2 linked regions of the Arabidopsis thaliana genome follow. The protein of the gene in region 1 interacts with the protein of each later gene in a pairwise test. Each region holds a gene or a part of one and is shown on either strand. Other genes may lie near its edges.

Region 1 (3,922 bases):
GGCTTCTGCGTCATTTCGGCAATGGCGGGTCGCAGAGACAGGATCCAACAGCTCCGTGGATCTCGAATTGCGATTGCCATCTTTGTCGGAATTCTTATCGGCTGTGTCTGTTCCGTCTTGTTCCCGAACGGCTTCTTTAACTCGGGATCATCCTTGATTGCTAACGAAGAACGCATTTCGAAATCAACCTCTACGGTACTGAGAGAGATCTTATGCTTTAAACATCTACAAATTCCTTTTTTTAGAAATTTTTCTGTAATCTCGAGCTCTCGATTTGTGATTAGAATTAGTGTTTGTTGGAATTTGAGAATTTGAGTCTCTTGCGTTTGTTATGAAGATTCAAAATCTTCATGGATTTTTGAGTAGAACTACAAATTGCATGTCTTGAACATTTGAGTTTAACTGGTGAAGTTTCATTTTTTTTCTCTGTTTTTTGAATTGTTCAGGATGGATTGGCTTCATGTGAATCATCTGAACGAGTCAAAATGCTCAAATCAGACTTTTCAATTATCTCGGTAAAGAACGCAGAGTTAAGGAAGCAGGTAAGAGAACTAACGGAGAAGGTACGGTTGGCGGAACAGGAAACAGAGAATGCAAGGAAACAAGTCTTAGTTTTGGGATCAGAGATAAAGGCAGGGCCTTTTGGTACTGTCAAGAGTCTGAGAACTAATCCAACTGTTGTTCCTGATGAGTCTGTTAACCCGAGATTAGCTAAGCTTTTAGAGAAAGTAGCTGTCAATAAAGAGATCATTGTGGTTCTTGCAAATTCAAATGTGAAACCAATGTTGGAGTTGCAGATTGCTAGTGTAAAGAGAGTTGGTATTCAAAACTACCTCATTGTCGCGTTGGATGATTCCATGGAAAGTTTCTGCGAATCGAAGGAGGTTGTGTTTTACAAGCGAGATCCAGATAAAGCAGTGGACATGGTTGGAAAAAGCGGAGGTAATCACGCTGTTTCCGGACTGAAGTTCCGCGTCTTAAGAGAGTTCTTGCAGCTTGGTTACAGTGTTCTTCTATCGGATGTGGACATTGTCTTCTTGCAGAATCCTTTTAGTCATTTACACAGAGACTCTGATGTTGAGTCAATGAGTGATGGTCACGACAATAACACGGCTTATGGCTTCAACGATGTGTTTGATGAACCATCAATGGGATGGGCTAGGTATGCACACACAATGAGGATATGGGTTTTCAATTCAGGGTTTTTCTATCTAAGACCAACTATTCCTTCAATAGACCTACTCGATCGTGTGGCAGATACACTCTCTAAGTCAGAGGCATGGGACCAAGCGGTTTTCAACGAGCAACTCTTTTACCCTTCGCATCCAGGGTACACTGGCTTACACGCTTCCAAGAGAGTCATGGATATGTACGAGTTCATGAACAGTAAGGTACTCTTCAAAACAGTGAGAAAGAATCAAGAACTGAAGAAGTTGAAGCCAGTGATTGTGCATCTCAATTACCATCCAGATAAACTCGAACGAATGCACGCTGTGGTAGAGTTCTACGTTAATGGCAAACAAGATGCGTTGGATAGCTTTCCCGATGGTTCAGATTGATAAAAGAGATGGATGCTTGTTAAGCAAGATATCGAAAAACCCAATCATCTTCTTCTTCCTCGAGTTAAGAAAAAAGGTAGGCTAAGTTTCATCTTCCCACATCTGTTGTTATAATCAGTTATCCTTTTAGGTTCCTAGTTCTTCTTCTCTACTAAGAATCTTGTGTAGCCTATAGCTGAAAAACTCAAGAGTCTTATTAACAATACTGTATTGTTGACCACAGTTTCTTATTTAGTCAGAAAAGTCTCTCTTTTTTTAACTATGCATTATTTCCTGACCACAAAAAAAAATTATGAGAGAGACAACAAACGAGAGATTAGGCAAGAAAGAGAGATATGGAAGAACAAGGAAGACAAAGAGAGTGTAAGAGTTTTGGATGTATGTGGGTTTTATCCACAAACAAGACTCTTTAAGATTCTTCTCTCTGTAATGACCGGAAAATCCCATTTTTTTGTGGTTTCAAATCAAATGGAACCCCACTCTTACCTCTGTCTTTGTCTTTTTCTTAAAGCCTTTTGTTTCAGCCTCTGTATGTATCTCCCTCTCCGGAGCAATTGCAAATTCTGTGTCTTTGTGCTATGCAGACATTACCAAGCTCAGAAACCGTTCTTTTAGGCTCCAACTCAGCACCACCTGTGTTGCGTAGTCCCGGTGGCGATGACGTGGACATCGATTTTGGTGACGTGTTTGGTGGTCCTCCTAAGAGACGCTCTAAAGTTACTAGTAACGAAGTCACACGACATAGCTTCAGTGAATCCGCTCTCCGGCGTCGTGACGTCATCGTCGACGTCGGCGATCTGCTTCCGCAAGACGAGAAGCCTGTATTCGGCGAAGATACATCATCTGTCCGGCGTCGTTTCACCACTGATGATTTCTTCGACGATATTTTCAGAGTTAATGAATCATCATCACTTCCGGGTTCTCGGATCCTTAGCCCGGCTCACAAACCCGAATCTTCTTCAGGGACTTCGTCTCCATCCCAATTCAGGTCTGTTTTCTTTGAACTAATTTAAACGAAGAGATAAGTTTCGTTGCTAATTTGTATAATTGTTGACTTTGTTACTCAGTCTTCCTGCAAAAGCAACAGAGATTCCAACATTTAATTTAGCAGCTACTCGTAGTTTGAACAAGAACAAAGAAACTGTTTCGAGCTCTCCTTTGTCAAGAACTTCAAGCAAAGCAGATGTGGTCTCTACTGCTAAATCATATTCAGATGATTGTGATGATCCTCCACAAGTTTTTGTTACTGGGAAAGGAAGGCAATTTCATTTCTCTATCTACAAGTGGCCTAATAAAGGAGTTCCTGTTGTTATTTGGGGAAGCTCTAGATTGAGTTCTATGTCTAAAGCTGAGGAGACAACACCTGTACCATTGAGTGATTATCGAAAAACTTCAGTTGTTGAGAAATTGGGTAAAAATGAAGAAGGAGATGGAAAAAGTGGTTTATCTGGTTTGAAAGATGTGAAGAAGACCTCGCTAAAGCGTCCTGGTGTCCAGACAAAAGAAGAGAAAACAGAAACAGATTTGAAGTCTGAACAAGCCTTCTTTGGTGTCTCAAAAGCACGTGAGGCTAATGTGAAGCCTCTTGATTCAGTTGAGTCTGAACAGGCCTTCTCTGGTGTGTCAAAAGCACATGAAGCTACTACTGTGAAGCCTCTTCATTCAATTTTTCATGAAGAAGATGAGAGACAAGGTTGGTTTCTGCAGACATGTATATTTGTTACATTTGGTTGGGTTAACTTCCTTTTGTTGACTGTGCATTTGGTTCTTTGTCATTGCAGATGAGAAAATAGTATCAGAGAGAGAAGTGAGAAAAGGTAAAAGCAAAGCGAAGAACACTCGAAGTTTTACCGAAGATTCAAGAACCAAGAAGAAATCACAAGGCACTAAAAGTTCTTTGGATAGTAGCCCGATACCCGATAAATCCAGCTTCGCAAGTTCATCAGCAGCACCAGAAGTTGGCAAAGATGGAGTCAAAGGAAAAGTGAGTGACTTCGTTAAGATTTTCAGTAAAGGAGCTTCAGTTGGAGCAGGTGGGGAATCTCTTGGACAAAGCTCTAGATGGAGAGCTAAAGAAACTCCCAAGACTGATATCATTCATGATGGTTCTAATGCCAAGGAAACTGTAAACATTCCTGATCAACAAAAGAAATCGACTCCAGATATCCCCGCTATGGTACTTAATCAGAAAATCAAGATCCTACTTGCTATATGTTCCTTGGTTTGTGATTCCTTACCTGTAAATATCGTTGCAGAATCGGGATCAGAAACCTTCACAGTCAACTCAGAAAAAAGATTCAGACCGGGAGAGCATGAACTATAAGGCTCCTGGTGATACTGTACAAGAAGAGAGACAAGAACCT
Region 2 (3,922 bases), on another chromosome or scaffold:
CACAGAACTCCAACTCTGTTTCTTTAAATCGAACACTTCAACCCAATCAGATGTTCGTACCTTACGACCTCCGATCACATAAATCTTTCCGTCAATTACACCCGCGGCTGCGCGACAGCGAGCCATCTTCATACTCGGGAGGGAGCGATACTCGTGAAATCTGCAGTTTATGTGAGTCACATCCGAGATGCGTCGTTCGCCTGCGTGTCCACCTCTTATGGATGTCTCGCCGCGGCGTCCACCGCTTATGGGTTTATTATAGCCTACGCCTACATCTTCTAAAAGTTTCTCGCCGACGCGTCCACCAATGACATAGATATCCGATCCGATAGTGACGACAGTAGATCCCCAAGGCATGGGAGGGAGGGAATCGATTTTGCACAATTTCAACGAAATCGTGTTAGGCAAGTTTCGATAGGGTTTACGATGGAGAATGTACCAGCTAGGGTTTTCAACAGGAGGGAATCCAACGTAGGCGTAAAGAACGTTTTCGGTGTAGCCGAGACGCAAGCGATCATCGTAGAGCTTCGACATGAGACTATGGAAGGATCTGCAGACGAGGGAAAGCGACGGGTGGTGACATCTCCGAACGAGTAGGAAGCAACGTAAGATGAGTTCTTCTGGAATTGGTAGCGACACCTGAACCTTTTCTTTCAATTTCTTGTTTCGATCCTCTTCTTTTTTAGGTTTCTTGATTTGATGATCGCCGCCAGTAGAGCCGTCGTCGGAAGTTTCAGAGATTAAAACCATCACCGTGTGAGTTGGTAGCGAATTAACGGAAAGTCTAAGTCAAGATTTTTTAAAAAGAAATTTATGTGTGAAAAGAAGCCGTTGTGTATATTTATATAATTTAGAAAATGTTTCATCATTTTAATTAAAAAATTAATAATTTGTAGAAGAAAGAAGCATTTTTTATACATAAATCATTTACCTTCTTTACTGTGTTTTTCTTCACTTACTTCATTTTTACTTTTTTACAAAAAAGTGAAAAGTAAATTACGTAATTGGTAACATAAATTCACTTTAAATTTGCATATGTTTTGTTTTCTTCGGAAACTATATCGAAAAGCAAACGGAAAGAACTTCACAAAAAACCCTAGCTAACTAAAGACGCATGTGTTCTTCTTATTCTTCATATATCCTCTGTTTCTTGTGTTCTGTTTTGAGTCTTACATTTTCAATATCTGACTCTGATTACTATATCTAAAAGGGAACATGAAGAACTTGAGACCATGTTAAACTGTACAATGCCTTCAAACATGGCTAACTAAAGATACATTAGATGGCTTTACAGTGTGTAATGCTTATTATCTTTAGGTTTTTTAAATCCCTTGTATTAAGTTATTTACCAAATTATGTTCTTGTACTGCTTATTGGCTTGGTTGTTGTGTGCTTTGTAAACAACACCTTTGGCTTTATTTCATCCTTTGTAAACCTACTGGTCTTTGTTCAGCTCCTCTTGGAAGTGAGTTTGTATGCCTGGAACGGGTTTTAATGGAGTGTTTATCGACAAAAAAAAAATGTAGCTTTTGAAATCACAGAGAGTAGTTTTATATTCAAATTACATGCATGCAACTAAGTAGCAACAAAGTTGATATGGCCGAGTTGGTCTAAGGCGCCAGATTAAGGTTCTGGTCCGAAAGGGCGTGGGTTCAAATCCCACTGTCAACATTCTCTTTTTCTCAAATTAATATTTTTCTGCCTCAATGGTTCAGGCCCAATTATACTAGACTACTATCGCGACTAAAATAGGGACTAGCCGAATTGATCCGGCCCAGTATCAGTTGTGTATCACCACGTTATTTCAAATTTCAAACTAAGGGATAAAGATGTCATTTGACATATGAGATATTTTTTTGCTCCACTGAGATATTTTTCTTTGTCCCAAGATAAAATATCTTTTCTCGCATCGTCGTCTTTCCATTTGCGCATTAAACCAAAAAGTGTCACGTGATATGTCCCCAACCACTACGAATTTTAACTACAGATTTAACCATGGTTAAACCAGAATTCACGTAAACCGACTCTAAACCTAGAAAATATCTAAACCTTGGTTAATATCTCAGCCCCCTTATAAATAACGAGACTTCGTCTACATCGTTCTACACATCTCACTGCTCACTACTCTCACTGTAATCCCTTAGATCTTCTTTTCAAATTTCAATGGCGTCCGGTGATGTTGAGTATCGGTGCTTCGTTGGAGGTCTAGCATGGGCCACTGATGACAGAGCTCTTGAGACTGCCTTCGCTCAATACGGCGACGTTATTGATTCCAAGGTCTGTTACACGCCGAGATCGGACTCCGAGTGATATCGATGATCTCATCCTCGACGGATCTGTTCCGATCTTGTGTTTCTCTGTTACTTGATTCGATTACTCTGTTACTATTCTCGTTCTTTGTTACTACTACTACTACTACTGTTACTTGTATTTTCCCAAATCGGTACGTTCATCTTCCTGCTTCTGTGAGCCCGGAGATCGATCGGATTTTTTTGTATTTTGTATATTTGTTGTAGATCTAAATGCTTTTGTTCAGTTTTGTTGGATTGTTTTGCTGATCTGGTTTTTGTATTATTTGGATAACAGATCATTAACGATCGTGAGACTGGAAGATCAAGGGGATTCGGATTCGTCACCTTCAAGGATGAGAAAGCCATGAAGGATGCGATTGAGGGAATGAACGGACAAGATCTCGATGGCCGTAGCATCACTGTTAACGAGGCTCAGTCACGAGGAAGCGGTGGCGGCGGAGGCCACCGTGGAGGTGGTGGCGGTGGATACCGCAGCGGCGGTGGTGGAGGTTACTCCGGTGGAGGTGGTAGCTACGGAGGTGGCGGCGGTAGACGCGAGGGTGGAGGAGGATACAGCGGCGGCGGCGGCGGTTACTCCTCAAGAGGTGGTGGTGGCGGAAGCTACGGTGGTGGAAGACGTGAGGGAGGAGGAGGATACGGTGGTGGTGAAGGAGGAGGTTACGGAGGAAGCGGTGGTGGTGGAGGATGGTAATTCCTTTAATTAGGTTTGGGATTACCAATGAATGTTCTCTCTCTCGCTTGTTATGCTTCTACTTGGTTTTGTGTGTTCTCTATTTTGTTCTGGTTCTGCTTTAGATTTGATGTAACAGTTCGTGATTAGGTATTTTGGTATCTGGAAACGTAATGTTAAGTCACTTGTCATTCTCTAAATAACAAATTTCTTCGGAGATATTATCTCTGTTGATTGATTCTATCATCTAAATTTCGGAAATGCTAATCGGATACCGGAATGGTGCCTTTGTTACGATTGAGTTACTTACATCACTGATACAACAATGAAGTACTTACTGATTATCTTTATACCATTCACCACACTACCTTTGATATTCAACAATGAAGTAGAAACCTATTTGGTTCATTCGCATCAACAAGAGTACTCTGAAATTACTGATTATTTTCGATTTTAGACTGCTATGGAGATTTCCAACTCAACTTATGCATGTTACAAAAGCTACTATATTTCTGTGATCCAGTTTAAAGTTAACTCATTGAGTCACTGTTGTTGTTCTTCCTTTAGACGAAAATGTATTTAACTCATGAACTTTGTAAACAAAATGAAGCTATTTTAGACCGTGTGTATCCTACTCCCCTTCTTCATAATCATATCGAATGTGTTCCTATTTGGTAATTTCATTTTGGATTTGCTCAAACATATCAAATTTATACTTTGAAAAGAAAAGAATCAACAAACTAAAGTTATTTCATAATATATATTTTACTTATCTCATAATCCAAACATATAATTTATGAAATAACTTTATTTTGTTGATTCTTTTCTTTTCAAAGTATATAATTTACTTATTTCATAATCCAAACAATTATATAGAAACTTTCATAACATGAGTTAATATAAGCCTAACGCTAAATTTATATAGAAACTTTCTTAACAT

The links.
Region 2: the proteins of JAC1 (region 1) and GRP7 come close enough for resonance energy transfer, tested with the Arabidopsis thaliana proteins (one study listed by BioGRID).

The regions. Positions count from the first base shown.
Region 1 is NC_003070.9:28,191,985-28,195,906, reverse strand, and holds the start of JAC1 (J-domain protein required for chloroplast accumulation response 1), read left to right. Parts: upstream 1-1,838; 5' UTR 1,839-2,137; coding exon 2,138-2,547; intron 2,548-2,626; coding exon 2,627-3,252; intron 3,253-3,340; coding exon 3,341-3,735; intron 3,736-3,814; coding exon 3,815-3,922. Other genes in the region: RRA2 (Nucleotide-diphospho-sugar transferase family protein), read left to right, coding at 22-195, 447-1,559. UniProt on the Arabidopsis thaliana protein: Required for chloroplast photorelocation movement; chloroplast accumulation upon low blue light and for chloroplast movement to the bottom of cells in darkness, by modulating chloroplast actin (Cp-actin) filaments distribution, appearance and disappearance.
Region 2 is NC_003071.7:9,264,558-9,268,479, reverse strand, and holds GRP7 (cold, circadian rhythm, and rna binding 2), read left to right. Parts: upstream 1-1,922; 5' UTR 1,923-2,163; coding exon 2,164-2,277; intron 2,278-2,586; coding exon 2,587-3,003; 3' UTR 3,004-3,396; downstream 3,397-3,922. Other genes in the region: AT2G21680 (Galactose oxidase/kelch repeat superfamily protein), read right to left, coding at 1-750. UniProt on the Arabidopsis thaliana protein: Plays a role in RNA transcription or processing during stress. Binds RNAs and DNAs sequence with a preference to single-stranded nucleic acids. Displays strong affinity to poly(U) and poly(G) sequence.